Oryzias latipes: one gene and its partners. The protein of the gene in region 1 purifies or fractionates together with the protein of each later gene. This does not show direct contact. Links are inferred from orthologs where the notes say so. Each region holds a gene or a part of one and is shown in the gene's direction. Other genes may lie near its edges. The genes, in order: mitotic-spindle organizing protein 2, tubgcp5, tubgcp4, tubgcp2 and tubgcp3.

Region 1 (4,465 bases):
GACTACATTTCCCAGCTACTTCCGGTTTCGTCTACTGAGTTTTGTTGTGAACAGGCAGGTGTGAAATCAACTTCCGGTTCCAATTAACACTAATGCGTCCGTTGTTTTCCTTTTCTTAAATTGTAAAAATATTGGATAAAAATAGAAACAAAAAAATGAAATATTTAATAATAACCAATTAAACATAATTAATACATTAACATATTGTAGCGACCTGGGGGTTAGCCCCGCCTTCAGCCCCTAAGGCTCATGGGAAGTGGGGAGCTTAGGTGAAACCTTGAGTCAGAGGGCTGGAAGCTGAAGTTAGGCTCCGTGCTGTTTGGGCTGTATGGTGTGCTAGAATAAACAGGCTTGTTGCATAAAAACTAATATTGCCTCTCTCTACGTTTCTTCCAACTTGAGACTGTAATGTGTCGTACGGTGTATGGGGCACGGACAGCTATCCATTAGAACCTCTTCATGAGCAGTAGGCTTTCGCTACCCCACTAAAGTGACGGTCCGGCCGGATCGTTACAATATAATACATGACTTGTATGTTAATTACCATAAATTATACATGATTAATAATGAACGTTTTCGTTCTTCTAACATCGGATCAATTTCACCTGTATAATACAGCATGTAAAATGTGTATTAAGGATTTATTTATTTTATTAGTTTATTTGACAAGATAACCTTTTGCACATGAAAATGCATCTTTGCAAATTCACCAAAGTTAGCCAAAAGGTTATTTATCATCTGTCGTACCTGGACAGGTAAAACAGTTGTCTCCTAAAAAACAATTTTACCTCAACAACAAAAATACAAAATAAACATAAATGAGAATAAGAACTTTATAACATCCGTAAAAAGGATAAAAATTCAATTTAAAAATAAAAGTGTAATAGAAGGAATTTATAAGCACAAAAGAGATTAAGCTGATATAAGGAGGAGATATAAGGTGTACAAAAACAAATTAACAATGATTATGAGGATGTGTAAAATGGAATACTACTATTACTAGAGACTACATTACCCATCATTCTTCAAGACTAGCTTCTTATCATAACAATGTTTTTGGTGGTTTTTCTCTTCAAACTGAGAAAAGAACAAAATATGACAACAGGCTCCTTTTCAATAAGATTATTAACATTTGTGAATCTTAAAAACTATTTACATAAAGCATACTTAGCCTATTTTACACCTAAGTATTTATGTTACTTGTTTTTCTTTGCCACCGTTTTTGCTATAAGTCTGTATTATGTTATGTTTTTTATATAATTTAATTTTCACTAGTTTTTTTGTATTCTGCTAAAAAAAATTACAATAAAGTTGTTGAAAAAACAGTTCCACAGACTACTGTCTCTTGATGATGACGTGTTTTCGGCGCGACCTACTTCAACACAAAGCAGCTTCGTGTTTTCGTCTCCAAACCCCCGCATTTGTTTTTATACTAAAACGTCATGCTTCATGCAAACATTTTGCCTGTCGTGGGTTTATATGTTAGCTAAATTTCTGCAGGACGTCGATTTGTTCTCTCTTTTTTTGTTATTGTTTAAAATATAAAGCCGTCGTATTAATTATCAGGAATGTCTCAACCAACACAAACGTCGCTGCCCGCCGCCCCTGACAGCCCCGCGCTGGTGGTCACAGCGAACGTGCAGAAATTCGCCGTGAAGAAAAAGAAAGTTCTCACCGCAGAAGAAAGTGAGCTGTTCGAGCTGACCCAGGCTGCAGGCATCACGGTGGACCAGGAGGTGTTCAAGTGAGTAAGGCTGACTGACCTGACCTCGCTCAGGCCACAAACTCCTCTTACCTGAAATATTTGGAGCCCGGTTGATTCTTTAAATAAAATGAATACATCCTCGCTGCATTGATTCTCATATTCTTCTCTTCGTTTTTGCACCGCTGCCTTTTGTTGCCCATCATCACCTCAGTTTTGAAGAACATGTGGTCCAGTTTCATGTCTTCCTGCATCCTAGGATCATGGTGGACCTGCTGAAGATGAACGTGGCCCCTCAGGCAGTTTTCCAGACCCTGAAGGCGATGTGTGCGGGTCAGAGAGTGGCAGACGGCTGTGGCGGCGAGTCCTCAACCGCCTCCCACGCGGCGAGCGCCAACACGGCACCTCCAGAGCCCAGAGGTGAGGGGAGGTCACACCAGCGGCGTGACCACGTCTACTCGTTCATGAATTGATGGGATTAGGCCGGAATGATCATGAAGCACATTTAATCCAGGATAATAAAAATGATCAAAAATAGGAAAATGTTTTTAGCTTTCAGTTGCTTTGGTGAAATAATCCAAAGCTGTATTTGGAAAAATCTTGTCTCCGCCTAAACATTTAATGCTCCTTCATTAAAATTTGCTCACATCCTGCCTGGGGTTTCAGGTTCATCATGGGGTAGAGGCTGACAAGAAAACCAAATAAGGCAGTGGTATCAGAGTGGGGGTCCAGGCGGAAAATCCACCCCTGTCATCCTCTCGGGTGGGGACGTTACAGGTTCCCTTGAGGTTCTTTTCTCCTTGTTGCTGCTTTAAGCTTTTTTTTTTTTTCTTGAGTTACTAAATGTCCCCTTTCTTTTTGAAGCTGTTCTTCACACGCTGCCTCGTCTTTCTTGCCAACACCCCCCCCGTCCTCTTCACGTCGACGTTCACTTTTGGGCATGTGAAATGCGGGTCCTTGAACGCGCTGTTCACAGACGCTGTTCGCACTGGACCGTCACTGCCCGGTACTGCCGCGTGAACTCCTGAACCCCCAAAGCGGTGCGAATCTGGTGGATCTCGCCCCGGCTCTTTCTCTTTCACGGCTCCATCCTGATGCATGAAAGACTTGGTGTCGTAGAATTCCCCCCGGGCCACAAACTGCAATTATTCACTTCTCCTTCATGATGAATTTTCAAACGGTTGACACTTCTGTGAGTTAAAGAGGACGCTATCTATACCCCACTGCCAAATCCAAGTCCCTGATGGGTCAAAGTTCAATTACTTTAACTTTCAACGTGCGCTCAGTGGCGAGAGTTTTAAACACGCAAGTCCAGAACGTGGACATACATAGGCTGTGTCCAAATCCCTGGGCTGCATCCTTCGATGGCTGCGGCCTTCCCGGGCGACGTTGGCCGGGTCTTGTTTATGTCTTGCCTGTAGATGATTCCAGCCGGAACATTGGCAAATGTCCTGTTGCCTAGCAACCGTGAGTCCCGAACAGAGAAGGTGTAGAGAACCAGGAACGGAGCTCAAAGTGTTCCTGGCCTGTTTGATCCAACTTTTAATCTTGTAATGATTTCCAACCCCGGGTCTTGCTTCACAGTCCGCCATTGTTGTCAGAAAATGTCCGGCTTCGGCCGCAATGCATCTTGGGAAATGGACAGCATTGAAGTGTCCGCTTGAACGTACGTCGCTGAGCTTGATGTGAACGTAGCATCTCTCCCGTTTCTAACTTCTCTTCTTCCCCCATCAATTCTTTCGTGTTTTTGTTCTTTCTCTTGTGCGTGCCCCCCCCACCCCCTCTTTTTTTTTTTCTCTCTCAAAGAAGAGTCTTTGGTTTCCGGAAAGAACCCTAAAGCACCTTCAGCGCCCCCCCCGGGGTCCGGCCCCAGAGCCCAGAAAGCCAACACGAAGATCGTGGTGTACAGCCCCCAAGACACTAACTCTTCTCACGCTCAAGGTCCCCTCTGTCATCTCTCACATCCAGCCTTCCTCCGCTTCATACGTGTGTTTGTGTGTGCCCCCCCACCACCACCTTCACCACCACGTATGCATGTTCATGCATGCATGCAGAGAGGGGGGGGCAGAGGTGTTTTATGTTAACATTCCATCTCTGTTTTCAAATAGAAAAACAATCTGTGTGAACAGTTTTGCTCTGTGAGAAACTGGTAACTTGTGGTGGTTTCCATGGCAACGTCCAGATGCATACATTCATTTGACATCAATGTAGATGTGTTCGTTCAGGACGGAAAAGCTCTTCTGGTTATTCCCCATGTTCCTCAGCACGTTCTCTGGCTTCTGGAAGTTTCTCACACTTATGGTTAACTCGATTTGGCAGCTTGGAAGTTTAATCATTAATTTTTGTTTTTGTTTTACTATTTCTATGCTTAAAATTCAATATCAACATTTATATGGCTACTTTATTATTTTTTTAATAATAATTTTTAGGAGTTATTGCTGCTTTTGTCCCACTTTTTTATTAATATTCTTCTGCAATTTCTTCAGCTAGTTTGGTCTCAACTGTTTACCTTGTCAACCGTTGCAGTTAAAACCAGGTTTTTGCTTTGACCTTAGACTGTTTTAGTTAAATATTTTAGTTTTTCCTCCTGAAACGCTCGAGTCAGCAGTGATGTTGGAGGCTCTGCTGCACACTGATGTTAAATGATGACTAATTCTTGTTTTATGCATTTTGCATTTTTCTCTGTTGTTTGGTTCGTCATAAACGCCATGTAGGTCCGAATATTTTTGACCCTTTGTTGATGTTTGTTTTTATAAACACGAT
Region 2 (4,018 bases), on another chromosome or scaffold:
TACCAGTGTGTCACATTTTTCAGACTAAATCGCTCTGGAGTAAAAGTCGTAGTTGCAATTTTGGGAAAAATGTATTTGATAGAATTAGAGAACGTACGTTTCCTTTTGAAGGACAAATCACAATAACAGAATAGATAACAATAATTGACTGAATATATGCATGCTTCACTACCAGAACCATATTCATCTTCATGAAACTTGCGAGGCATTGAATGAGTAACGGGTATATATTAGCGCAACATATAAACTATTATTCAGATAACATATCATCAAGAATAGGCTAACAAATCGGCTAAACTCTTTATATTTCTTGAAATCACTAAATCCATTTAATTCTTCCTCATCTGTGTCGCTTTTGAAAAACTCAGCTGAGGCTGTCGCTTCTTCTGTGTTGCTGTCGGCAGCAAACACTGAAACGCTCACCCACAGTGCCTCTAACGGCCACTAGGGGGCACTGTAGCAAATGCACACAATCCACGTACATTGCCCCCTAGTGGTTGTTAGTGGGAAATAAACACATGAGCCTTTTTTTTAAAGTCACATATATGTTGCAAGCAAAAGTCACATCCTAAATAAATATGCAGAAAAAAACATTTCGTATCCCCTGAAAAATACAGTATATTTTTAAAATCAGCGTTTGTTTGTTTTTTTTCTTTTTTTTTTGCCTAGCATCATAATTCACTCACTGTTCCCCAATTATTACACTAAATAGGGCGTTTGCCATAAGCTGGAGTGTCTATAATCCAGGGTACCATATATTCCAGCACCATATAGTCCTGTGGGGGTTTGGGAGTAGTGAGAGACTTTGAGCATAGCTATTATGTGATCAGGTGTTATTTCAAACCCTTTCAAAACAGCATACATATATTCTGACGTTTTACTCACTTTGTTTAAGTCTAAACTAAAAACGATTCTGTAGATCTCAGTGTTTAGACGGTTGAAGGTGTTTTATTTGCATATTCATCTAAACATGATTTTTACTGGTACATTTTTTTATTTGCTCTCTTTTTTGTGTGTGAAGTTCTGAATGACGCTGTGCTTTTCCTCTCTTCAGGCTGTACTTGGAGCAGAGCGACTTCCTGGAGCGTTTCTCCGGCGAGGATTTCATCGTGGACCGCTCCTCTCAGTCCGTCACCTGCCAGTCGTTCGAGCTCACCCTGCGCTCCTGCCTCTACCCCCACATCGAGAGGCGCTACATCGAGTGCTGTGGGAACCTGATGAAAACACTGAAGAAAGACTATAAGTAAGCCACCTTTTCAAGTCAAAGAGCGCCTGTGCGGAGCGTCTGATCACCTTTTCCTCCCATCTGCAGGCTGCTGGAATACCTTCAAGCAATGAGAAACTACTTCTTGCTGGAAGCCGGAGACACAATGTACGACTTTTACACGGCCATCTTTGACAAAGTGCAGGAGAAGGAAAGCTGGCAGCAGCCCTCTTTTCTCAACGTGCAGCTGCAGGAGGCGGTTGGACAGCGCAACCTGGAGGACAGTAGCAGGTACTGCAACGCCATAGTGGTGCAATTCAAGACCCAATCTGATGATAATAGTTTTGTTTTTGGTGTTTTTAACCTGACCTTGTAGCATTTTTCTGATGACTGAATATATGGATTAAAAAAATGATACTTATAATTGTTATATTCAAATTGTTGGAAATAGAGCTTGTTTGTGACGTAGAAAATACACTGGGCGAGCCACAAGCTCCCTGCTCTGCTCCATTCTGATGCATCCACTTGCAGACAAATAGATCCATGAATGTCATTGTTTTCCTCATCTGAGTTGGAATCTGGATCAAACATGTGTAGCTGGATAGCTCCAATATTGCTCACTATTTTTATTGTGCCAGTAATGTTAGCTTGGGGGTGTGAGGGGCTGAGCTAGCAGGAGAGTACGTAAGCAGAGAGCCCTCAGTTATGGGTGATGGGAAGGTGGGGACAGGGTTGCTTTGTGGCAACATTCCCTATTTTTGCCGAAAACGGCATATTCATAACTTAAAGAACCACTGGGAACGCTTTAAAAAAGATCAAAAGATGATGGGATCAGGACTTGTGAAAGGTGAACACTAAGAACGATGTTTCTGTTTTTCTGTAGGTTATCCGTCTTTTTAGAGACCCTTGACCACACCAAGAAAAAGCATCCTGTCAATAATTTAGAGGTCCTTACGCTGAGTTACAAGGTAAGCACATGAATGCACGGACCGAAGTCACCCGTGTTTCTGCTGCAGCCATGGTGACATTTGCACGCTTCAATCCTCACAGGTTCCCTGGCCCGTTGACATCGTGATCAGCTCCGAGTGTCAGAAGATCTACAATCAGGTGTTTCTGCTCCTGCTGCAGATCAAATGGGCCAAATACAGTTTGGACACTCTTCGCTTCAGTGGTAAGAGTCGAGATCACAGCTGATTCGTTTACTGAACATCTCATGAGGCGGCTGCAGTTTAGCTCAGGCGGTAAAGCAGGTCGCCCATCGACCGAAGGGTTGGAGGGTCGATCCCGGCACTCTCCAGCCAGGTGTCGCCCCCTGAGCGCGGCCAGCCTGCAGCTCACCGCTCCCCCCAGGGGATGGCTCAAATGCGGAGAAAAAATTTCCCAATCGTGGGATAAATAAAGTATCTTGTTGTTATTAACATTTTCTCTTGCTAGCCTGTTTCTTTTTAACACTGTTCCCTCGTTTAGCACGCAAATTACTTTCTAAAAATAACCTGCGAAAGGGGAAATCCACAAACTAGCATTACAGATGTTTTAAGGATGTAAAACCCATCACTACACAATTTAGAGACTTTGCTTTGACAGACATGAACATTTTCACACTAACTTTAACATTTTTTTTCCTAAGTTCAAACTTTTGTAGAAATATAATTCCAGGATGATAGAATGAAAACAATGAGCTGATCCAGATCAAAGATTGATGTAACTCTGGGATGCTGAGACACGGCATGGAGGACATTGATTGACAAGGTCTACAGCAGTCGTCCCCAACCTTTTTGTCACCGCGGACCGGTACAACGCAAGGCACGTTTACCGCGGACCGGTGGGTGGGTGGGTGGGGGGGTGTTGAGGTGCAACGCAAGGTGTGTATCACGTGATGTTTGGTGTCGCGACTTTGACGTGCGTTAAGTGTGACGGATGTAACAGAGAGAATCCGGTCACTTTTCAAAATAAAACGCTTTTTTCGAAAAAAAACAATAACATGGAAATTATTTTTTCTTTCTGTGCCTCCCGGTGCCAAGTGTCCCGGGCCGCGGATCGGTGGTTAGGGACCACTGGTCTACAGCCAATCAGGATGCAGAACACAGTGTGCTGTTAAATATACATTGAAAAAAATCCGCAAAACAATGCAGTTTAAAAAAAAATTAAAAATAAATCCGCAAGACACGAAAGGTGAGCTGTGATAAAACGAGGGAACACTGCATTTCTAGACTTTTGTCTAGTTGAGGTCATTTGTCTCTGAGGAAAACGGATTGGCGTGTGACGGTAAGTAAATCTGTTTACTTTCACAGATTTTCAAGATGTCACGAAAAAACTGGAAGAAGCCGGAGCTGAGGAGATGAACGCGAAGGAACCACTAAACCAGCAAATTCACAGGATGTGCCTGCTGCGAGTTAAACTGATGCACTTTGTCAACAGCCTCCACAACTACATCATGACCAGGGTGAGAGGGCCGCTCCTGTCTCCACACGGACACTGCTAACTCTAAAACACATGGCATCAAAATACATTTGAAAAGAATTGTATAGGTTGTTTTTTATTTATTAAAAAAACAACAACTACAATTTACAAAAAAAAAGAGCTAAATTGTAGTTTAGGTTTTCCATTCCAGTGGTACACTAGTGGTTTAAAGAGATACCAAGTGTTTGGAAACTTGCAGTAAATATTTAAATGGTTTAAAAAGGTTTTACTTTTCAAATCCTCAAAATCTGTCCAGGGAGTTTAGCAGATGTGCGACTTATATCTGCCTCGAACTAAAACCTCGCAATTTCCCTGAAGGTTTGTCTGCAAGCAGAGGGAAATCAAATTGACTAA
Region 3 (4,470 bases), on another chromosome or scaffold:
AGATGTAAGAGAAAACACGTTACACTCGTTTCTTTTAAGGCACTCAAACGCTTAGCCACGTGTTTAACCTTTGTGCTCTCCTAGGCACTTTAACGTTGGGAGTTGGGTCATCTAGACCCACTAGACAGTGTTCTGAACCTTTTTTCTTCAATGATTTGTGATCTTCACTGGTGTCCATGGATTACATGAAATCTTTCCACCTTTATCCACCTTTGTCATGGTAGGGAGAACACGTCAATGTTGGGGGGGGGGGGGGGGTCATCTAAGATAGCACAAGGGTTAATATGAAATGATGGAGTACCACCTCTGTTTCCATGACAACACTGACTCCTGCAGCTCAAACTAAACTCTGAGCACCAAAGATCATCTAAGCACTGCTCATCTACTCGATGTGAACCCACTCCATTCGTCAGAGTGTTGGTACGTTAACAGACCACTTCTTGCAGCTTCCCCTGGCGGGTCACCGCTGACCCCGGCGACGGGTCACTGCTGACCCCGGTGACAGGGACAGCCCTGGCCAAAGTTCGTTTGAGAGTCGCACCTGCAGCCCAGAAAGACGTGGTTGGCCCAGACCATGGACAGGGACAGCAGGCTGTCCAGGCTGGGGCTGTGGGCTCCGGGCTGCGCGGCGGGGACCCCCTGCCCCTCCATGTTCCGCAGGATGAACTCCCTCCGCGCGGACCACTGCTTGCTGGTCTCACAGAAGCCCCTCAGAGAGTCCACCCACCCCGCCAAATGCGGGTTCTGCTGCAGGTACTCCGAGACCGGGTCGTCTCCGCCCCTCTGCGCCGCCATCCACGTCCACGAACCCTCGCCGCTCAGAGCCTCGCAAACCTGATCCAGGTGAGACCGGAGGGAGCTCCCGGTGGCCTACATGGATGGACACGGACTTTGGACACTTTCCGCCCGGCTGGCGAGTTAAACACGAACTCTTCTCTAAAACGCGCCTGACTGGTTTAAACTCGGCTCAGCTCGACCCTCCTCCTCTGAATTCCGGTTTAGAAGCGGGCTAAATGTGGGTCAAACCGAGCTTTAAACTTGGCCCGGAGCCTCTGAACTGCTCCACTCTGAACCCGCTGCTAGCTGCTGTACCTCCGGGTGATGACGTCAGACCCGCGACAGCATTTCTTCAACTACATTTCCCAAAACAACAACAAAAAACTAAATTTCCCGTTAGTCTGATTTAATTACATTTATTCATCATTTCAAATGACACTTCCAACAATTATGTGCTACGGATTTACGTTTAATTCCTACGTTACTTTTAATATTATTTCCAGAAATAAGAACACGCAAAAACTATAACGTACTGCGCATGCGTTCATGTTGATGACGTAGGCTTCGACCGGAAGGCGGGTTTGTTTTGCCGAATGAAAGAGGTCCAGCCCAGTGTCGGGGTCGTAGGGTAAATACAATGATTCACGAGCTCTTACTGGCGCTGAGCGGGTACCCCGGCACCATCTTTACCTGGAACAAGAGGACGGGTCTGCAGGTAAACGGAAGTCACGTGTCCGACTCGAAACGTGATCATTATATTCCTTTAGCCGCAACCTGCAGACCAGTCAAATGCTGCATCGAGCACCGCAGACCCCCTACCTGGACCCCCCCACCCCTGAACTCCCTCCCCATGCCCGCAGCCCCTCCCTCCTGTGCAGCAGCTGGTGGTCCCTGCAGCAGAAGCTCCATCATGGAGGAAGGAAGCATCTCCTTAGGGAACCACGTCTGCTGACATCTTCATGTTTCTTTGCTACAGATTATTTACGGCTAATCAGAGTCATTCTAAAATACCGCTCATTCCCAGTCCCGATCATTGATCCAGATTCATGAAATGACTACATGCTTTGTGTGAAGTTAGAATCTTGTGTTGTGCAGGAGTTGGTTAACTGTATGGATGTGAAAAGCTGCCGGTCTCTGTCAGAATGAAACATTAATGCTGATGTGCAGGTGTCCCAGGAGCTGCCCTTTCTTCACCCCAGCGAGGCCAGCGTCCTGAACCGGATCTGCAAACTGGGCTCAGATTATATCCGCTTCACAGAGTTCATAGAGCAGCACACGGGACATGTCCACCAGCAGGTGAGTCTGTGTTCAGCAGCAGGTCAGTCTGGTCTCAGGCTCTGGTCTCAGGCTCTGGTCTCTGGTCTCAGGCTCTGGTCTCAGCCTCTGGTCTCAGGCTCTGGTCTCAGGCTCTGGTCTCTGGTCTCAGGCTCTGGTCTCTGGTCTCAGGCTCTGGTCTCAGGCTCTGGGCTCAGCCTCTGGTCTCAGGCTCTGGTTTTGTATACTCTGGTCTCAGGCTCTGGTCTCAGGCTCTGGTCTCAGGCTCTGGTCTCAGGCTCTGGTCTCTGGTCTCAGGCTCTGGTCTCTGGTCTCAGGCTCTGGTCTCTGGTCTCAGGCTCTGGTCTCAGGCTCTGGTCTCAGGCTCTGGTCTCAGGCTCTGGTCTCAGGCTCTGGGCTCAGGCTCTGGGCTCAGGCTCTGGTCTCAGGCTCTGGTCTCAGAGTCTGGTTTTGTATACTCTGGTCTCAGGCTCTGGTCTCTGGTCTCAGGCTCTGGTCTCTGGTCTCAGGCTCTGGGCTCAGGCTCTGGGCTCAGGCTCTGGGCTCAGGCTCTGGTCTCAGGCTCTGGTCTCTGGTGTCAGGCTCTGGTCTCAGGCTCTGGTCTCAGGCTCTGGTCTCAGAGTCTGGTTTTGTATACTCTGGTCTCAGGTCTCAGGCTCTGGTCTCAGGCTCTGGTCTCAGGCTCTGGGCTCAGGCTCTGGTCTCAGGCTCTGGGCTCAGGCTCTGGTCTCTGGTCTCAGGCTCTGGTCTCTGGTCTCAGGCTCTGGGCTCTGGTCTCAGGCTCTGGTCTCAGGCTCTGGTCTCAGGCTCTGGGCTCAGGCTCTGGTCTCAGGCTCTGGGCTCAGGCTCTGGTCTCTGGTCTCAGGCTCTGGTCTCAGGCTCTGGGCTCTGGTCTCAGGCTCTGGGCTCAGGCTCTGGTCTCAGGCTCTGGTCTCAGGCTCTGGTCTCAGGCTCTGGGCTCTGGGCTCAGGCTCTGGTCTCAGGCTCTGGGCTCAGGCTCTGGTCTCAGGCTCTGGTCTCAGGCTCTGGTCTCAGGCTCTGGGCTCAGGCTCTGGTCTCAGGCTCTGGTCTCAGGCTCTGGGCTCAGGCTCTGGGCTCAGGCTCTGGTCTCAGGCTCTGGTCTCAGGCTCTGGTCTCTGGTCTCAGGCTCTGGGCTCAGGCTCTGGTCTCAGGCTCTGGTCTCAGGCTCTGGTCTCAGGCTCTGGTCTCTGGTCTCAGGCTCTGGTCTCAGGCTCTGGTCTCAGGCTCTGGTCTCAGGCTCTGGTCTCTGGTCTCAGGCTCTGGTCTCTGGTCTCAGGCTCTGGGCTCAGGCTCTGGTCTCAGGCTCTGGTCTCAGGCTCTGGGCTCAGGCTCGGGGCTCAGGCTCGGGGCTCAGGCTCTGGTCTCAGGCTCTGGTCTCAGAGTCTGGTTTTGTATACTCTGGTCTCAGGCTCTGGTCTCTGGTCTCAGGCTCTGGTCTCTGGTCTCAGGCTCTGGGCTCAGGCTCTGGGCTCAGGCTCTGGGCTCAGGCTCTGGTCTCTGGTCTCAGGCTCTGGTCTCTGGTCTCAGGCTCTGGGCTCTGGTCTCAGGCTCTGGTCTCAGGCTCTGGTCTCAGGCTCTGGTCTCAGAGTCTGGTTTTGTATACTCTGGTCTCAGGTCTCAGGCTCTGGTCTCAGGCTCTGGTCTCAGGCTCTGGGCTCAGGCTCTGGGCTCAGGCTCTGGTCTCTGGTCTCAGGCTCTGGTCTCTGGTCTCAGGCTCTGGGCTCTGGTCTCAGGCTCTGGTCTCAGGCTCTGGTCTCAGGCTCTGGGCTCAGGCTCTGGTCTCAGGCTCTGGGCTCAGGCTCTGGTCTCTGGTCTCAGGCTCTGGTCTCAGGCTCTGGGCTCAGGCTCTGGTCTCAGGCTCTGGTCTCAGGCTCTGGTCTCAGGCTCTGGTCTCAGGCTCTGGGCTCAGGCTCTGGTCTCAGGCTCTGGGCTCAGGCTCTGGTCTCTGGTCTCAGGCTCTGGTCTCTGGTCTCAGGCTCTGGGCTCTGGTCTCAGGCTCTGGTCTCAGGCTCTGGTCTCAGGCTCTGGGCTCAGGCTCTGGTCTCAGGCTCTGGGCTCAGGCTCTGGTCTCTGGTCTCAGGCTCTGGTCTCAGGCTCTGGGCTCTGGTCTCAGGCTCTGGGCTCAGGCTCTGGTCTCAGGCTCTGGTCTCAGGCTCTGGGCTCTGGGCTCAGGCTCTGGTCTCAGGCTCTGGGCTCAGGCTCTGGTCTCAGGCTCTGGTCTCAGGCTCTGGTCTCAGGCTCTGGGCTCAGGCTCTGGTCTCAGGCTCTGGTCTCAGGCTCTGGGCTCAGGCTCTGGGCTCAGGCTCTGGTCTCAGGCTCTGGTCTCAGGCTCTGGTCTCTGGTCTCAGGCTCTGGGCTCAGGCTCTGGTCTCAGGCTCTGGTCTCAGGCTCTGGTCT
Region 4 (4,587 bases), on another chromosome or scaffold:
GATGCTGAGAGGCTGGGAAGCTGGTGGTTTCTTCCTGAAGTCCATCACCATCTCTCTGGTCTTTTCCACATTCAGCTGCAGGTTGTTTTCTCCAGACCATCTCACAAATTCATCCACAAGATCCCTGTACTCCTCCTCCCCAGATTTAATTTAAAAGCTAAACAAATACCTCTTTGAAGTCTTGGGAAGTTTAATTTTTTCCCCCATTTTCTTTATTTTTATAAAAGCATCAGCTGCTTAAGAATATGCCATGGGTTACAATATAAAACCTAAAAAAAGTTTTGTCACACACCATAAAGTAACTACCTCCCGGTTATTTACTCATCTTCATTTTACAATTGTATTTCTGCAAATACTACAGATGAAAAATAGCCTTTGGGCTAATTCTGGCGCATTGGAGCCATGCTTTTAATGTGCACTGTCCCTGTTAAATAAACTAATAAATAAATGAAATAAATATATTTTTGTCGTTCTAGACTCATTTAAACAAATAAAGATGTTTCTTTTTCTCAATGAAATTAAGAAAAATAATTTTCAATGGTTTTTTAACCCCCTCAGCCAAAAAAATAAAATAAAAAACGACCCTCTCACCCTCCGTGGGTGGTTTCTCTGCTAGCACTGCCCTTTCTGGACTGACAGGTCTGAGATGTTTCCAGGTATCTGTAGCCACTCCTCCAGCTTGGGGGTTACTGCCCCGAGTGCTCCAATTACCACAGGCACCACTGTCACCTTCACTTTCCATGCTTTCTCTAGTTCTTCTCTGAGTCCCTGGTATTTCTCCAGTTTCTCATGTTCCTTCTTCCTGATGTTCCCATCGCTTGGTACTGCCACATCCACCACAACAGGTTTCCTCTGTTCTTTATCCACCACTATCAGTCTGGATCTGGAAGTCCCACAGGATCTTTGCCCTCTCATTCTCTACCACCTTCGGAGGTGTTTCCCATTTTGACCTTGGGGTTACCAGTTCATATTCTGCACACATGTTCCTGTATATTATTCCAGCCACTTGATTGTGGCGCTCCATGTATGCTTTACCTGCCAGCATCTTACACCCTGCAGTTATGTGCTGGATTGTTTCAGGTATAGGCTGTTTGCACAGGCTACACCTTGGGTCTTGTCTGGTGTGGTAGATCTGAGCCTCAGATCTACCATATATATATAGATTGATAGATATAGATATATATCTATATATAGATACAGATATATATCTATATATAGATAGATTTAGACATAGATATACACACACACATCTATCTATCTATCTATCTATCTATCTATCTATCTATCTATCTATCTATCTATCTATCTATCTATCTATCTATCTATCTATCTATCTATCTATCTATCTATCTATCTATCTATCTATCTATCTATCTATCTATCTATCTATCTATCTATCTATCTATCTATCTATCTATCTATCTATCTATCTATCTATCTATCTATCTATCTATCTATCTATACGTTTGAATACCTAGCCTGTAGGGGGCAGACTCACGTCATGTCCTTGTAAAGTGTCAACAAACGAAGAAGAGGAATTTGAGCAGCATTGGGCGCCTTTGGTACATGATTCACTGAACGTTGGTGAGCTCATTTTCACGACTCCTGCAGGTACAGAAATAGTTGAAATGTTGTATTTTACCCGTGATAAGGTTTATTCAGAAATGACCGAAATTCAAATATTGGCAAATTTTGCACTTGCGTTTGGATTAGCTAGCATACTATTTAGCATTTGCAGTTTGCAGGCTAGTTAGCCTGTTTACTAGTAACATTTGGCTCAGCATCAGAGTACAGAGAGACTTTAAGTATTATATATATAAAGTAATTGTATCTCCGTAGCCAATCTATAGGCGATTGTTTGTCGGTGTGAACGAGCTGATGCCTGCTGAGATGCTGTGTTCGCTGAAGCTAAGATGCTCTCCTCTGTTTTTGTAACCCAGCCTTCCTGACAACTGACTGACTGAGCCATGAGTGAGTTCCGGATCCACCACGACGTGAACGAGCTGCTCAGCCTGCTGCACCTGCGTGGAGGTGATGGGGCAGAAGGTTACATAGATCTTCTACAGAAGCACAGGACACCGTACGTCACCACCACAGTGTCTGCTCACAGTGCCAAGGTGGGTCATTTATGCTGTATTTATTTACAGGCTAGTCTATAGTCATGCAAATCTTATCATGGTTTTCGTTTTATGACATTAAAAAAGCCCTAATGAATGCTGTTTTGTGATTTGTTTTTCATCTTTTGAGGCGACCTTGGATGGCCAGAAAGGGGGGGGGGGGCATATAGATCATATTATTTATGATTATTATAATTAAAAGGGAAAAAATGACAACCTCAAAATATGTTTATATAGACAAACCTGCACTTGCTGGGAAACAAACAAAAAAATGTTATTGACAGAATGATTATTTACTCTAAAACTGTTCAAGAAGTATTTTTTAAACCAAATGCCAGACAGCCCAGTATTTCAGATATTTGGATTAGGGATGCCCAAACTGTCAGTCTAAAAACAAACCATATGTTCCATCACTGAACCAAATTGTTGGGGGGAAAGAATTGTGCAGCCTTACTACATACCAGTACAGTCAAAGTGTTAAATTTGTGACAAATTTATATTATATTAATTTTTATTACATAACACCAGACTAGTGTAACCCAATTGAAAGATTTTCCTTCGTTGTTACTTGCTTAATAACAAATTTAAAAAAGGATTTTTCTGAATCATAAATGGATTTTAGTATTGTTGTTTTGTAATGTATAAATCATATGGCGAACCCAAAAAACTTTGAACCGAGTAATGGAGAAAGTGAATCAAGACATCCTTATTAAAAGTTTAAGATTTATTAGTTAAAACACATTTTTTCCATTTGAAGGATGTTAAAAGATAAAATTAAAAAGGTGGCTACAAAGGAAGAGTAGCCAACTGCTAAAGACAGAAAGGTGTAGACAGTAGGAGTCGTAGTGGTTTTACTGTTTATAATTTGCAATGTCTGATATTACTTCTTTTGTCTCTTAGGTCAAATTAGCGGAGTTTTCTAAAACACCAGAGGATTTCTTGAAGAAATACGAGGAGCTCAAGTCTAAAAATGTTCGAAATCTCGACCCTTTGGTGTATCTGCTTTCCAAACTCTGTGAGGATAAAGAGGTAACGCACCGTATTTGTTGTGCTGAAGTTTAGGTGTCTGCATTCATACAAAATGACATTTCTTTAGGAGGTGAAAGTGGTCATTTTAAAGCAAATCCTCCCAGTAACATGACCTCTTTTTTTCTGTCTGAATATGTGGTTTTCCTTAAGGACCCACTCTATTTAAAAATGTGGTTTTGGTGTTTTTAACATGTTCTTCTGGAAATGTTCTGTTGATGGAGGAAATATATAAAGAAAATTAATTTTATCATTGCATTTCTGAGTATTTTTTATTTAAATCTATGGAAATCATGAGGGCTGTCCGGTCTCTATATGACCGGAGAAAGAGCTTGGTTCACAAAACCGGCAGTAAGTCAGACTTGTTTCCGGTGCATGTTGGACTCTGTCAAAAAGTGTCTTTTAGGACAACACAAGGGAATGCATTCAAAAATAAAGATGCTCCAGGTGAATCAGTCACTGGGTCTTTTCATAGTTTTTTATTGAAATTTAATTGATACTTTATTTATCCTATAATGGGGAAATTCTTCTCCGCATTTTGACCCATCCTCTGGGGGGAGCGGTGAGCTGCAGGCTCGACAGCTGGCTGGGGAGAGCGAGGATCGATTCCCCCAATCCTTCGGTTGTTGGACGACCTGCTCTACCGCCTGAACTAAACTGCCGCCCAGAAATGAATGGAGAGAATTTCCAGGGGCAGCCAGGGGCGAGAGGGGGTCTGGTTTACCTCTCTGCTCTTTGCAGATGATGTCCTGTTGGCTTTATCAAGTTGGGCTGCATTGGGGCGGAACGAGGGGAGTCTGGGCATCTTTGCTTAGACTGTTGCCCCCGCGACCTGGTCCCAGATAAGCGGAGGAAGATGGATGGATGGATGGAAATCATGAGCTGACAGTTTAAGAGCTTTTTTGTGACGTATGTTGGAAGAGGATCAAGCTCCCTGCTCCACAACCTGGAAGGGAAGAGGGGTGGGGTTGCTCTGTGCCAATGGTCCCGCCTACAACTCAGAGGAGATTTTCTAATGAACTACTAAAGCTCTGCAGAAACTATGTACTAGAAAATGATGCAGGTTTCTGGTTTGGGCTAAAAACTGTCTATTCATAATGAAAAGGCCACAGAGAAAACTTTGATAATAGATCAAAAGATGATCAAAGTGGGACTTTAATAAGAACTTTATTTTCTTTTTTTCCCCTCTTTTTAGACTCTTCAGTTTTTGCAACAGAATGCCAAAGAAAGATCAGAGTCGTCAGCAAACACAAATTCAACGACAACTACCAGCTACACTCTCCCTCAGTCCAGCGCCAAGATGTCCATGCAGGAGTTGGATGAGCTGCGGAAGAAGCTTGGCAACGTGACGGCCAGCTCCAACGCCCCACTGGTGAAGAGTTTTCAATTTTCTTACAGCATGCCTGAAATATGTATACATGGAAAAAAAGATTGACTCTCCCAT
Region 5 (4,613 bases), on another chromosome or scaffold:
CATTATTCTGAGAAATGCTCATGTCCAGTAAAGAAAAAGCAAATAAAAGCCGTTAGTTTTTTGGTTTTAGATTTTTTTTTTATTATAGAAAAAATAATAATGAATTTAAATTAAGTTTTTCACAATAAATCTACATTAAATACATGGCAAGCAAAAAGGAACATTTATAATATAATATAAAATAATATAATACTGGACACTCCACAATAAATTCAGATTATTTGGATAGAAACAAATTATTTTATTTATTTAATAAATGTGCAAACTGTATTTTTTTTCCCTTAAGTGTTGAAACTGTCCAAACATTTAAACAGCAAATGTAATTTCGGCTAAAATAAACCAGCTTTTCCATGAAGGACATTTTGGTGCACCGCCATCCTTAAATCTGATTTGTCGGAAGGAACTCTGTTGCTGCTAATGTGACTTCAAATGAATATTGGGGTGATGGTGGAAATTTTCTACATTAATTGTATGTAATAGATAGTTTCTTACAACAAATAATCAAATAATAAATAAAGAAAATATTTGCTAATTAATTCGTGTTTTCTGTTTTTTTTTTTAACTTTATTTGCATTTTTTATGATGTTTTTAATGTAAAAATAAGACAGTTGTGAGAAATTTTCAAATCCCTAATAACGGAAACGATGAACCGGTAGGAACAAACAAAAAAGGCCCTTGTTTCAATAGGGAAGTATTTTTTTCCATGGCGTGTCCGACACCGGGGACGCATTTCGGCGGGTAAATTGAACTGTCTCAATAAAGTTCTTTGTAATCAAAGCGGATGTTTCCTGTTAACTACTACACAATAAAACGCATCAAGACCTTTTCGAGACAAATTTTGTCATAAGATTGTTTTGGCACATTTAAAGTAACCATTTATTGGAATTTTCGCAGTCTTTTGCGATATGCATATAGCACAGCTTGATCTCGATAAACTTGCGATATATTGTGCAGGCCTATTGTCTACATTTTTTTGAGGTCTTCCACCACGTACTAGCCGTAAAATCTATTTTCTTTCTCTTTTTTTTGCACACATTGAAGGATAGCCTTACTGCAACCAAGAAAACATTTCATTTAAAAAATTGTGCAAAATAGTTATTTTCTACACAATAAAATACAATCATTTGTAGTTTTAATTATTTTTAACTATAATTTTAAATGCATGATTAAATGCAAATGCACCAAACACTCTACTGTTCATACTTTACCTATTATAAATATGCCTTTTAGAATTCAAGTATATAGTATATTAGTGAGGTTAATAACTGTCTTATTTGGAATCTTTTCTTTTATTTACTATTTTCTGTGCAATTCTGATAACTATGCTGAAGGCTCTTATTTTGAAGGGGGCAGGAAAAGGGTCACTTCAGATTCCGTCCTCCCCGCTACTTTGACTCGTAGTCGCTAAATGGCGTTGCTCATTGTGGGAGGCTGCGGTTAATAACTATTCCTTCCCTGCATTTGCGAATTGATCCCGTCTGTGGTGAAAACGATGGCGACGTTGGACCAGAAATCCCCCAACGTCCTCCTGCAGAGCCTGTGCTGCAGAATCACGGGGAAAAGCGAAGGTACGGGAGCCAGAGCTAGCATAGCCGCGACACCGCTACTTTGGCGAAGCTGCTTTGAAAACGACACTCTTTCAGGTTGAGGGTCAGATTGGCGGTTTAACTTGCTTCTTATTCATTTTAATGACTTTAAAATAACAGTTAGTGGGAACGGATTTATTCGGCACATGAAGTTGAAGCTTGACATTTATAAGTGACTAAATACAATCGTAAAGTCTCCCGCCGGCTAAACCCAGAGCGTTGCCGACGGAATTTGATCATCGTAAACCGGGTTTTCTGGCAATACATGTCAACAATTATTTGGTGATCCGCGTGGAATTTTTTGCTGAACTTTACTGCCAGCATTTGAAGGGGATCAAGCGAATCGTCTTAAAGGAATCCGTGGTTCGCAGGGAGCTCGGCCCGGGTTAGCCTGAATGTCAGGCTGCGGTCTTGATGCTGCAGCATCCCGCCTGACAGCTGCTGCGTTAAACCGCTATGCCGGGCTCGGGACCGCCGTTAGCTGGGCAGCGTTTCGGCAGCCCGTGCGGAACCACTGACTCCCGGCTGCAGGCCCCAGAAACGAGGCAAAAAAAATGTTAGGGCGAGGTTGTGAGGGGCTGCAAGCCAACGGGAGAGCGTGTAAACAGATGGATGATGGGAAGGGCGGCGGGGCTTACTTACTACTACGTGTCAACAGCCACAACACGGAGGCGAGTTTCAAATGAGCCTCTGCTGCTCTGCAACAACTGTGTCCTGGAAAACAACATGTTTTTAAACAGTTTTAAGGTCATAATCCTAACAAAATAAATAAAGAAAAAAACCAGGAAGGCTTTGAAAATAGATCAAAATATGACCAGAGTGAGACTTTAACAACTGAATTAAAAGCAGCATTGTCCAGTAATTCACAGTTACCGTTTTTAGTGACATAATTTGGTGAAAAAAATCAGAATTTCTTCCTTTTGTGTCCTAAAATGAAAACCATTGTTTTTGTTTGTTTGTTTGTTTTTTAAAGCATAAACTCTTTTGCTGATTTAATAAATATCTGTTTTTTGTGCAGCTGAAGTCGCCCACCAGTTTCAGTATGCCGTCCGAGTCATCGGCAACAACTACGCTCCCACTTTTGAGCGAGACGAGTTCCTGGTGTCGGAGAAGATCAAGAAGGAACGTGAGTGACCTTTGACCTCAGGAGGCTTTTTTTTTTTTTCTTCCTCTGCTGCATCTTTTCTGAATTTGGTCCCTTTAGCATCTGGCCTGTGCGGATAAACGTCAGACTCAGCAACGTTGAAAACCTTTATTGCCTCTCGGCAGCAAATATCTATTGACTTGCTTTGCAGTAGCGCTAGCGGGAAAACATTGATCTGAGCCTCGTCGCTCATCATCAAACTGAAATAGCACTTTCCAGGTTGCGGGGGCTGGACGTCTCCTGTGACTAATGGGATTTAAATAAGACTTCCAACCGAGGTTAACGTGCACCCCCCCTCTCTGTTACTGCAGACGACAGAATCCATCCAGGTATACTTTATTGATCCCAAACGGAATTATGATGGAGTTTGTTCCAGGAAGTCCAACAGAAAAGCCTCTTTAGTTGTGTTTGTCTGCAGCTCCAGGTGCCGGTCGGGATGCATTCAAACCTGGTTTTAGTTCGGGAAAAAATTAATTTCGTCCTTCGTCTTGCTTTCAACATTGTATATGTTTACACTTAGTAATATGCTTCTGTAAGAAAAAAATCTTATTGTAAAGTTTAATACTTGTCTTTAGTGTTTTTTCTAACGAACATATTTATTAAGAACATTTATTTAATTGAATTTTTATTTTATTTACAAAGTTGTATGTTTTTCTCATTTAAAAGTACCAATTTTTGTTGAATTAACACATTTATTTCATTTTATCAGTGCATGCTTTATAATATAGTTAACTTTTGACTGTAAGAGTTTGTCGGATTTGTTTTTATTTTACAAAAAAAACCAGAATTTAATTAAAAAGCTACGTTTCAGTTTTAATTTGTACTTCTATAAACTGAAACAAGCGTAAGGGTTTTTGATAGATGTGGACATGAAACCATCAGACGTTTGAGGCTGTGAAAGGAGCGTTGGATGGCGTCTAACTGTTGGTGTCGATGCTCCTGCAGTGGTGAAGCAGAGGAGGGAGGCGGACGCTGCTCTCTTCTCAGAGCTGCACCGAAAACTCCAGACTCAGGTGAGCGTTTTTCTACCCGCCAACAAGAATAAACCTCCAAAAACGACCCTGCTGGCTTCTGACGACACTATTTCAGCTGAGTTTGTAATACTAGATGAATAAATGAGGAAAAAACAAAATACGTGAAGACGAAAGGTTAAAAGTCCACATTTATTTGATTGTTGTCCATTTTTCTGTTTGTTTCTTGCCGTACTTTAATTTTAAAGCTATTGATGTTAGTAATTAATAAGCTATGATTTTTTTTTTTATTAAATTTGGTCAAAATTGAATCTTCTTTCATTTGATTGAAGGATGCTGGGCTTTTATTTTGACGGTTTTCCACCTTTCAGGGTGTTCTGAAGCACCGCTGGGCGGTTCTTTACCTGCTGCTGATTCTCTCTGAAGACCCCCGCAAACCATCCTCCAGGGTGAGCGCGCCCCCCCCCCACGACTCAAACACAATGTTTCTATCTTATTTCCTCTTCTGTCTTGTATAATTTCGCTGCGTCACGGATCGTCTCGCATCTTTACTACGCTGACCAAAGTGTCTCGTTTCAGGTTGGAAACTACGGGGGCCTGTTTGCCCAGGCCCTCCCCAGGGACGCCCACTCCACCCCGTTTTACTGCACTCGGCCCCAGAGCCTGTCGCTGGGTCACGGGGAACGGACCGCCGCCCTGGTGGGGAGCGTCGGGACCAGCGGGATTTCCAGCTTGGGGGTGTACACGCTGAACGGCCCCACGCCACAGTCGCTGCTGGGGGGGTAAGCTCTCTGGTCCGTTCACACAGAGGGGGCAGAAAGGAGGCGCACAAAGCGGTAGAAAATAACATTGTACTTTGCAAGGACGACTCTCACTTTTCCGCTGCTTTTTTTGTGATTTCTATTGTTTTAA

The links.
Region 2: the proteins of mitotic-spindle organizing protein 2 (region 1) and tubgcp5 purify together in Homo sapiens (affinity purification with mass spectrometry; 3 studies listed by BioGRID and IntAct, counting the BioPlex papers as one, with this or other methods). This does not show direct contact. The link is inferred for Oryzias latipes from reciprocal best matches to the Homo sapiens genes MZT2B and TUBGCP5.
Region 3: the proteins of mitotic-spindle organizing protein 2 (region 1) and tubgcp4 purify together in Homo sapiens (affinity purification with mass spectrometry; 3 studies listed by BioGRID and IntAct, counting the BioPlex papers as one, with this or other methods). This does not show direct contact. The link is inferred for Oryzias latipes from reciprocal best matches to the Homo sapiens genes MZT2B and TUBGCP4.
Region 4: the proteins of mitotic-spindle organizing protein 2 (region 1) and tubgcp2 purify together in Homo sapiens (affinity purification with mass spectrometry; 5 studies listed by BioGRID and IntAct, counting the BioPlex papers as one, with this or other methods). This does not show direct contact. The link is inferred for Oryzias latipes from reciprocal best matches to the Homo sapiens genes MZT2B and TUBGCP2.
Region 5: the proteins of mitotic-spindle organizing protein 2 (region 1) and tubgcp3 purify together in Homo sapiens (affinity purification with mass spectrometry; 3 studies listed by BioGRID and IntAct, counting the BioPlex papers as one, with this or other methods). This does not show direct contact. The link is inferred for Oryzias latipes from reciprocal best matches to the Homo sapiens genes MZT2B and TUBGCP3.

What each region holds. Positions count from the first base shown.
Region 1 is NC_019870.2:3,061,407-3,065,871, forward strand, and holds the start of mitotic-spindle organizing protein 2, read left to right. Parts: upstream 1-1,352; 5' UTR 1,353-1,568; coding exon 1,569-1,744; intron 1,745-1,961; coding exon 1,962-2,122; intron 2,123-3,505; coding exon 3,506-3,643; intron 3,644-4,465. UniProt on the Homo sapiens protein: Required for the recruitment and the assembly of the gamma-tubulin ring complex (gTuRC) at the centrosome.
Region 2 is NC_019862.2:28,164,764-28,168,781, reverse strand, and holds part of tubgcp5 (gamma-tubulin complex component 5), read left to right. Parts: intron 1-1,054; coding exon 1,055-1,243; intron 1,244-1,312; coding exon 1,313-1,495; intron 1,496-2,087; coding exon 2,088-2,172; intron 2,173-2,254; coding exon 2,255-2,375; intron 2,376-3,495; coding exon 3,496-3,647; intron 3,648-4,018. UniProt on the Homo sapiens protein: Component of the gamma-tubulin ring complex (gTuRC) which mediates microtubule nucleation.
Region 3 is NC_019861.2:4,196,369-4,200,838, reverse strand, and holds the start of tubgcp4 (gamma-tubulin complex component 4), read left to right. Parts: upstream 1-1,327; 5' UTR 1,328-1,414; coding exon 1,415-1,492; intron 1,493-1,944; coding exon 1,945-2,073; intron 2,074-4,470. Other genes in the region: protein CDKN2AIP homolog B-like, read right to left, coding at 542-795. UniProt on the Homo sapiens protein: Component of the gamma-tubulin ring complex (gTuRC) which mediates microtubule nucleation.
Region 4 is NC_019877.2:19,477,774-19,482,360, forward strand, and holds the start of tubgcp2 (gamma-tubulin complex component 2), read left to right. Parts: upstream 1-1,507; 5' UTR 1,508-1,611; intron 1,612-1,940; 5' UTR 1,941-1,967; coding exon 1,968-2,117; intron 2,118-3,017; coding exon 3,018-3,146; intron 3,147-4,338; coding exon 4,339-4,515; intron 4,516-4,587. UniProt on the Homo sapiens protein: Component of the gamma-tubulin ring complex (gTuRC) which mediates microtubule nucleation.
Region 5 is NC_019860.2:22,843,553-22,848,165, reverse strand, and holds the start of tubgcp3 (gamma-tubulin complex component 3), read left to right. Parts: upstream 1-1,364; 5' UTR 1,365-1,492; coding exon 1,493-1,568; intron 1,569-2,604; coding exon 2,605-2,712; intron 2,713-3,675; coding exon 3,676-3,743; intron 3,744-4,072; coding exon 4,073-4,150; intron 4,151-4,280; coding exon 4,281-4,483; intron 4,484-4,613. UniProt on the Homo sapiens protein: Component of the gamma-tubulin ring complex (gTuRC) which mediates microtubule nucleation.